Rattus norvegicus: one gene and its partner. Each later gene encodes a partner of the first gene's protein in a complex. Links are inferred from orthologs where the notes say so. Each region holds a gene or a part of one and is shown in the gene's direction. Other genes may lie near its edges.

Region 1 (3,814 bases):
AGGTAACAATTAGAACAAGCCAAGAGTGGTGATAAATTCTTATATACTCCAGTACTTGGAAAGTAGACACAGGAGGATCAGGAATTCGAGGCCAGCTTCAGCTTTATAGTGAGTTTGAGGCCAGCCTAGGAGACTGCCACAAACAAACAAAAATCCAAAAACAATGTGTTAAAGAAAGACCTCTGAGTGGCCATTTGGAATGTGGAGTAGGAGTATGGGAAAGTGGCACTGGGGCATTGGGTATTGGGCTGAATGAGAACAGTGGTTGATAAATGATTGTGGGAGCCTAGGACTGGGTATAGGACGCATTTAGGGACAGTTCAATGTGTTCTCGGATTTAGTGACTGAACCAATTCAGTTTACTGGGCACCTGTTTATCAGTTTCCTCTAGGTACTCTTGCCTGCTGAATGCCGGATACATTTAAGGCAAACAGGCCCTAGCTTTTGTGTTTGGTGGGGCTCTGGGAAGCGTGGGAAACGGAGCCTGAGCAGAAGGCCCAGCCTAGGCTAGTCCCCACATGTCTTCCCCCCCATGACTATTACATTGGTTTCTCAATGTCTTTGTGGGCATGCTGGAACTGGGCTTTGAGGTTTCTGCCTTAAGGGTAGGAAGGAGGGGGAAGGGCATTCTAACAAATTTCACCCCCAAATCAGTTGCCTATGTGGCTTTATCTACATTGTACCCTGGTCTGGTTCTGCGTGGATTTACAAGTAGAGGAACTGCAGTGACAGTGCAGTCTGTGCTTTAATTAATCCTACATCCAAAGCCTAGATATCTGAACACAGCAAAGTTTAAAGGGTATTTGTTTCATTAAGCAACTCCAAGTTGTTTCTTAAATAACCCCCTTTCATTTCTAATACTCCCGTCACCCTCTTATATGTATGCAGTGGGTGTAGTTTATTTTCTTCCCATTCTCATTTTTCCTCCAAATATTTCTGCAGCTTTCTCCTTCCTGCTTGCTGCTTGCTGAGGTGGCTGGGATGCTTCCATGGTTTATCTGAATCTAGACTGGGCTATTCTCTGTGCTAAACCAATCAATTACGGGCCTTCTCTTAACAGGTGTGTATGGAATATATATTAAGAATTAAAAGTTATTTTAGGTGCCTTTTTCTCCCTTAGGTGTTTGGTGAGAAGTTAAGGGAATAAGAGAGAAAAAAATTCCTCCTAGTTTGCCATTCAACAGTATACATTTTATCTGTCTGTCTTATCTATCTATATGTCTGTCTGTCTACCTACCTACCTACCTACCTACCTACCTACCTACCTATCTATCTATCCTGCTTTTGAGACAGGATTTCTTTATGTAGTTCTGATTGTTCTGGAACTTGCTCTGTAGACCAGGCTGGCCTTGAACTCATAGTGAGCCATCTGCACCTGCCTCCCAAGTGCTGAGATTAAAGCTATGAGCTACTACACCTGGCCACAAAAACTTGAGACAAGATGTTGTTAAGTTGCCCAGGCTGGCCACAAATTTATGTAGGCTAGCCACAGAAGTTGTGATCTTCCACCTTCTGAGAAGGTGGGGTTGCAGGCCTGCACCACAGATGGCTTGAGGCAAAGCCTTTTTGTACAGTGTCTGAGGTTCTGTCACTGTTGTTCCCATTAGCATGTTTTGCCCTCTATCATGTAGTATAGTTTTGTGAGATAGAAAGGCCTCTTTACACATGTGTGAGACATGGAAGTTTAAGTTCTTTTGCCTTTCTATCTGGGAAGTTCTTCTATATTTCTTTTTTCCCTTTTCTTTTCCTTCTCTCTCTCTCCCCCTTCCTTCCTTCCTTTCTTTTCTTTTCTTTTCTTTTTTTTTTTTTTTGGCATGAGTATTGAAATATTGTTTTTTTTTTTTTAATTTTTTTTATTAACTTGAGTATTTCTTATATACATTTCGAGTGTTATTCCCTTTCCCGGTTTCCGGGCAAACATCCCCCTCCCCCCTCCCCTTCCTTATGGGTGTTCCCCTCCCAACCCTCCCCCCATTGCCGCCCTCCCCCCATAGACTAGTTCACTGGGTTCTTTTTTTTTTTTATTCCAAGACAGAGTTTCTCTCGGTATGTAGCCCTGGTTGTCCTGGAACTCTTTATCTGTGGACCAGGCTGGCCTCAAACTCACAGAGCTCTGCCTGCCTCTGCCTCCCAAGTGTTAACATTAGAAGCATGCACCTCCACCACTTAGCTAATATCTCCATTTCTTAACTGACATTTTCATTTATTATAATTTATCACTACAGCTACATTTATAGTGTTCAGGTTTGGGAGAGGTTAAGTAAAATTTGCGTTGTCCATTACTTGTAGAAGTAACTTGTCCTTGTACCCGGGAGTTAACTTTTATTAAGCTGATGCCTGCAAATATTTCCAGAGAAAAACAATCTAATTTTAATCCCACGCTATGGTGTCTCTGTCCTGCCAATAGTATAGAGACTTTGGTCAAACTGCCACCTTTTCTTTCAATAGGAAGGAGTTCGTAGAGTGTTAAAGAGGGAAGTAGGCGAAGGGTCCTTCCTATTGGAACAGACCTTGGTGATGGGCTCCCAAGCTTGGTTGGTGGTGGCTTGCTTTCTGCACTGCAGTAAAAACACAGAGGGCATCTTTGGCGCTGGGGATTAACAATTCTTCTGTCTTCTCTGACCTGTGATCTTTTCTCTTCTCTCTTACCCCTCCCCCCACCCCTAGTGTGAAGTGAGGGGACCTACTCCCTTCTTTCTACTCCCTCTGTGGTCCACCTTACTTTTTATCCTGCCCTGCGGCGGCTCCTCCCCTTACCTTCATGGACGACTCAGAGGTGGAGTCGACCGCCAGCATCTTGGCCTCTGTGAAAGAACAAGAGGCACAATTTGAGAAGCTGACCCGGGCGCTGGAGGAGGAGCGGCGCCATGTGTCGGCGCAACTGGAACGCGTCCGGGTCTCACCACAAGATGCCAACTCACTCATGGCCAACGGCACCCTCACCCGTCGGCATCAGGTAACCCTTTCTCCATCAGACCTGCAGGTAGGACGTTGGCATGGTTGCAACTGAGGCCTACAGATCCTTAATGAGATGCTACTGGCCCTGGGCTGTCCAGTGTTTACACTTGACGGTGAACTGTTCCAGGAATATTATAAATGTTGATTAAGAAATAAGGGATTTGTTACTGATCTGAGTTGGATGGACTTTAGAAACCCTTTGTGACTTCCTGTTTTGGATAGGGATGCAGTTCTAGTTATTTCTAGTTATGGTACTGTATTTTGTAGCTACACTCAGAGTCACTTCTGTTTTCCTTGAAATATCTTTTTTTCTCAGGGTGAAAAATTAGGAGAGTATATCTACTTAGTGGTTGGGGAAGTTGGGCATCTTGAGCTCCTAGCTCCAGTTCAATCTCAACTAGCGAACAATCTGTTCTCAGAAAGTGTTACAGTGTTCATAAATCCCCAATATTCATATTCCTTTCCCATATGTCCTTGTGTGCTTATTGTTGGGTGTGTAAACCATGTTTTGGAAGAAGAGATCATTGTTACTTTTGCTGGTTAGAGCTGGAGAGGGGGCATCATGCTATTATTTAACCCAGATAACCACAGGAGCAGCAGTAGTCTCAGGGTTGGCTGACTTAGATGTGACTTGGGAGGACTGGTGTTAGAAGTGAGAAGTATATTGTGTTCCCTAAGGTTTATGTCTGACTTTACTGTAATGTATCTGAGTGAATGTGCACGCACACATGCTGGGCACTGCTTGAGTAGACTGATCCTCTAGAGGTCTGAGTGGCATTAGAACAGGGCTCACACTTCGTCCTTATTTGATTGCTTATTTGTTTTTTGTGTGTTTGTTTGTCTTGTAGCTAGGGAT
Region 2 (3,814 bases), about 96 Mb from region 1:
ATCGTCGTCCATGCCATTGACAACGGTGAGTGCGAGTCAAGGCTGGGGATGAGCAGTGCTGGTTCTGGCCTCCTGAGGGAGGCCATTTCTTAGCATCACTGAGGAGATTATAAAACAAACATTGTTCTCGCTTTGCCTCTGTGCTAGAGATTATTTTTTGATAATAACTCCAGCAATGGCAAACCGGGGACTGATGCTGCTGAAAGAGGGGCAGCGTTCACTCAGCAGAGACAATTAAGCCAGCGAGGAGTCGGCAATCACACCCACCCGTCTTGTCTGCCTGGAAGATAATGCAGTAGCTCTTTGTCAAGACCAACGATGTGTGATAAATATTTAGCAGTTTCCCGTACCTGGGACGGCTCGTAAGCTCCAGCAAATGTGTCTGAGTGGAACGCATTTGTCATAAACCAGGACGAGTGATTTTAAAAACACGTCTTAGCACATTTCTCCAAATTCCCACAAGGCTGAAGTTAAACGCGTCCAAACATAAAGCTGCATGTGTGGACATTTTCAAGTAACATTAAGAACCGTACTTAAAGAAGTCCGTGGATGAAAGCCCCAAGCGCTGTGGGCCTGCCCAGCCCATTTGCATAATTATCTGACAGAATGTTAGGGACCTGAGATGCTATCCCATGCTCAGGAAGGGAAGCCGGCCAACCTGGCACTCAGGGTTCCATGATTCAGTGAGGGATGGCTTCATGATTCCCATGATCTACTTTTAATTACAAGAGGTGATTTCTGAATGATCATAAATTTGTCGCCATGATCCTATCCTGCCCTCCGTTGGGGTCCCCAGTCTGCCAGAATAATTCAGAGGTGCTGGGGTACAGAGACAAGTGAGTTTATTATAGAGGACAGTGGGCACCTGTAGGAATGAGAGTGGACAGTGGTAGTGTGGCCCACTGAGGAGGAAAGCATATTATGGGGCGAGGAGAGAGGTCCATGGCCAGAGAGACCACCATTAGCTTTCACTGTTAGTCAGGCTTCATACTCTTCCTACAGTCTCTAAAGGAGGCCCTTTCCCGAGGGGCATTTCCCTTCCCAGTGTCTGTCAGTTCTTTGATCTTCACCAGAAAACCTTTAGTGGGTAGCATTGATGAACAGACTGTTTGATTGATTGCCATGTCTCCACCTGAGGCCAGAGTCCTGCCTTTCTGTTCCTGTTTCTACCAGCTGCTGACCATGAGGGGAAGATCCATGCTCTGTGACCCACAAGCTGTTAATATCTGACCAGCCACCTTGTAGATTCACTTGTGGTTTTAGCATCCCAACACGCTTTCCCGAGCTTTCCCCAGTGTGCGCTTTATAAAACAGTGTAGTCTGTCTTCATAGGCAATGTCCCTAGCAGACCAGAGCTGACTTCATCTTCCCTGGGGATCCCCTATGCTCCCCTTTTACAGCACTTATCCTTCCCAGCACCTCTGCAGCTTGTACCATGACTGAGACAGGATATGGGATTCTACACCCTATCTCTTCCTTTAAAATCCGTCAGGAACAACTCGTGCTGCCCAATACTGCTACGTGTGTGTGTGTGTGTGTGTGTGTGTGTGTGTGTGTGAGTTGTGTGTGTGAGTGTGAGTGTGTGAGTTGCATGTGTAAGTGTGTGTGTGAGTGTATGTGTGTGTATGTGTGTATATGTGTGTGAGCATGTGTAAGTTGTGTGTGTGTGAGTGTCTGTGTGAGTGTGTGTGAGTGTGTGTGAGTGTGTATGTGTGTATGTTTATGTGTGAACATGTGTGAGTTGTGTGTGTTTGAGTGTCTGTGTGAGTGTGTGTATGTGTGTTATGTGTGTGTGTGTGAGCATATGTGGGTTGTGTGTTGTATGTGTGTGAACATGTGTGTGTGTGAGCATGAGTTGTCTGTGTGAGAGTATATGTGTGAGAGTGTGTGTGTATGTGTGTTGTGTGTGTGAGCATGTGTGTGTGAGCATATGTGAGTTGTGTGTTACATGTGTGTGAGCATGTGTGTGTGTGTGAGTGTACGTGAGTTGTGTATGCATGTGAGTGTGCGAGAGAGTGTATGTGTGAGAGTGTGTGTGTGAGCATGTGTGTGTGAGCATGTGTGAGTGTGTGTGTGAGTGTGTGTGAGTGTATGTGTATGTGTGTGAATACATGTGCATGAGTGTGTACACACTTGCACTGGAGGTGTCCACCACCAGGGCCACACCCTGATGGAGAGACTCTGGACTGTTATAGGCACTTGAGGAACTACTGATGCTGCTTTTCTGTAAGGTCAAGTCCACCCTCTCTCTTTAATATTGTGACCTCCTCTGTTGCCTGGGTTCTGTCCTCTCCAAGGCCTCCCCCCACTGACTGGCACGGGGACTCTGATGCTTTTCCTGTATGATGTCAACGACAATGCTCCAATTCTCCAGCCCCATTCCCGACACTTGGAGATCTGTGAGTCGGCTGGAAACAAGGCCCTGCTGTTGGAAGCCGAGGATGCAGACCTGGACCCCTACGCTGGCCCCTTTACTTTTGATTTGGACTCTGACCAGGGAGATGTGAGAGAGATTTGGATGCTGAGGATAAAGCAGGAGGAAGGTTTGTATGGGTTGGGGGCTAACCCAGACTGGAGCAAAGTGTGACTTTGGGTGGGGACACTGGGTCATGAAATCTCAAGTGACACTTGGAGAGCCTAAAGACTGGAGTGTGTTTTGTGGGAGACCAGCCCGGATTACTTACCAAGTTCCAGAAAGGACTCTGGGCATGAGGGCTGGGTGAGCATTACATGTCTGCTGTCACTCTTGACTTTCTTGACATCATGGAGGAAGATGACTGCACACCGAGATACCTGCTCTGTTCTCTTCTCTCTCCTAATTTTCACCTGGGTCCCTGTCCTTGGAGTGAACAGCAGCCACGGCTGTAACAATGTGAGGGGTGCTCTTTGAGTCCTAGAGCCATCTAGAGCCCTAGAGTACGTCACCACATGATGTTCTGTGGGGAAGATGTAAAGAAATGTCTATTTATCCCAGCTAGAGAGAGTAACAGGCCAAAGCGAGGAGTTCACCCTAGCCCAGCTTGACAAGGAGAGGGTTCTTTCAGGATCATGGATGAGTCAAAGGCAGGGTCCTGTGAGTGTAGGCTGGATTCTATGAGTGTAGGCAGGATCCTGTGGGTGTAGGAAGGATCCTGTGGTGTAGGTAGGATACTGTGGTGTAGGCAGGATCCTATGGGTGTAGGCAGGATCCTGTGGTGTAGGCAGGATCCTATGGTTGTAGGAAGGATCCTGTGGTGTAGGCAGGATCCTGTGGGTATAGGAAGGATCCTGTGGTGTAGGTAGGATACTGTGTGTAGGCAGGATCCTGTGGGTATAGGCAGGATCCTGTGGTGTAGGCAGGTTCCTGTGGTAGAGGCAGGATCCTGTAGGTGTAGGCAGGATCCTGTGAGTATAGGTAGGAGCCAGGGGTGTAGGTAGGATCCTGTGAGTATGGGCAGGATCCGGGGGTGTAGGCAGGATCCTGTGGGTGTAGGCAGGATCCTACGGGTCTAAGTTGGGTCGTGTGGGTATCATGTGTATGTATAGGCAGGTATGGGCAGGAGCCTGGGGGTGTAGATCAGATCCTGGAGCTTTCCTAAGGCGCTTGTTTGGATAGTATAATTTACAGTACGGTTTAAAGGTTACAGACATTTCTTCTGTCAATAAAGTTGTAATGCAGGTTTATGAGGAGTGTTGTTTATATTCAGGAATAAGGGGTGCTAAAAAATCAAGGCTGTGGACCATCTTGGCCCAGGTTAGCACAGTTTCTCTGTTATTCTCATTTGAGGTGTGGGTAGGAAAACACGCACTGTCCTCACTGTGGGCAATTTTGAAT

What was found.
Region 2: Ctnnd1 (region 1) and Cdh26 share a complex: the UniProt entries of both Homo sapiens proteins name them as parts of the cadherin:catenin adhesion complex. The link is inferred for Rattus norvegicus from reciprocal best matches to the Homo sapiens genes CTNND1 and CDH26.

What each region holds. Positions count from the first base shown.
Region 1 is NC_086021.1:90,113,600-90,117,413, reverse strand, and holds part of Ctnnd1 (catenin delta-1), read left to right. Parts: intron 1-942; exon of another isoform or gene 943-1,060; intron 1,061-2,667; 5' UTR 2,668-2,761; coding exon 2,762-2,956; intron 2,957-3,814. UniProt on the Homo sapiens protein: Key regulator of cell-cell adhesion that associates with and regulates the cell adhesion properties of both C-, E- and N-cadherins, being critical for their surface stability.
Region 2 is NC_086021.1:185,929,195-185,933,008, forward strand, and holds part of Cdh26 (cadherin-like protein 26 precursor), read left to right. Parts: coding exon 1-25; intron 26-2,297; coding exon 2,298-2,543; intron 2,544-3,814. UniProt on the Homo sapiens protein: Cadherins are calcium-dependent cell adhesion proteins. They preferentially interact with themselves in a homophilic manner in connecting cells; cadherins may thus contribute to the sorting of heterogeneous cell types.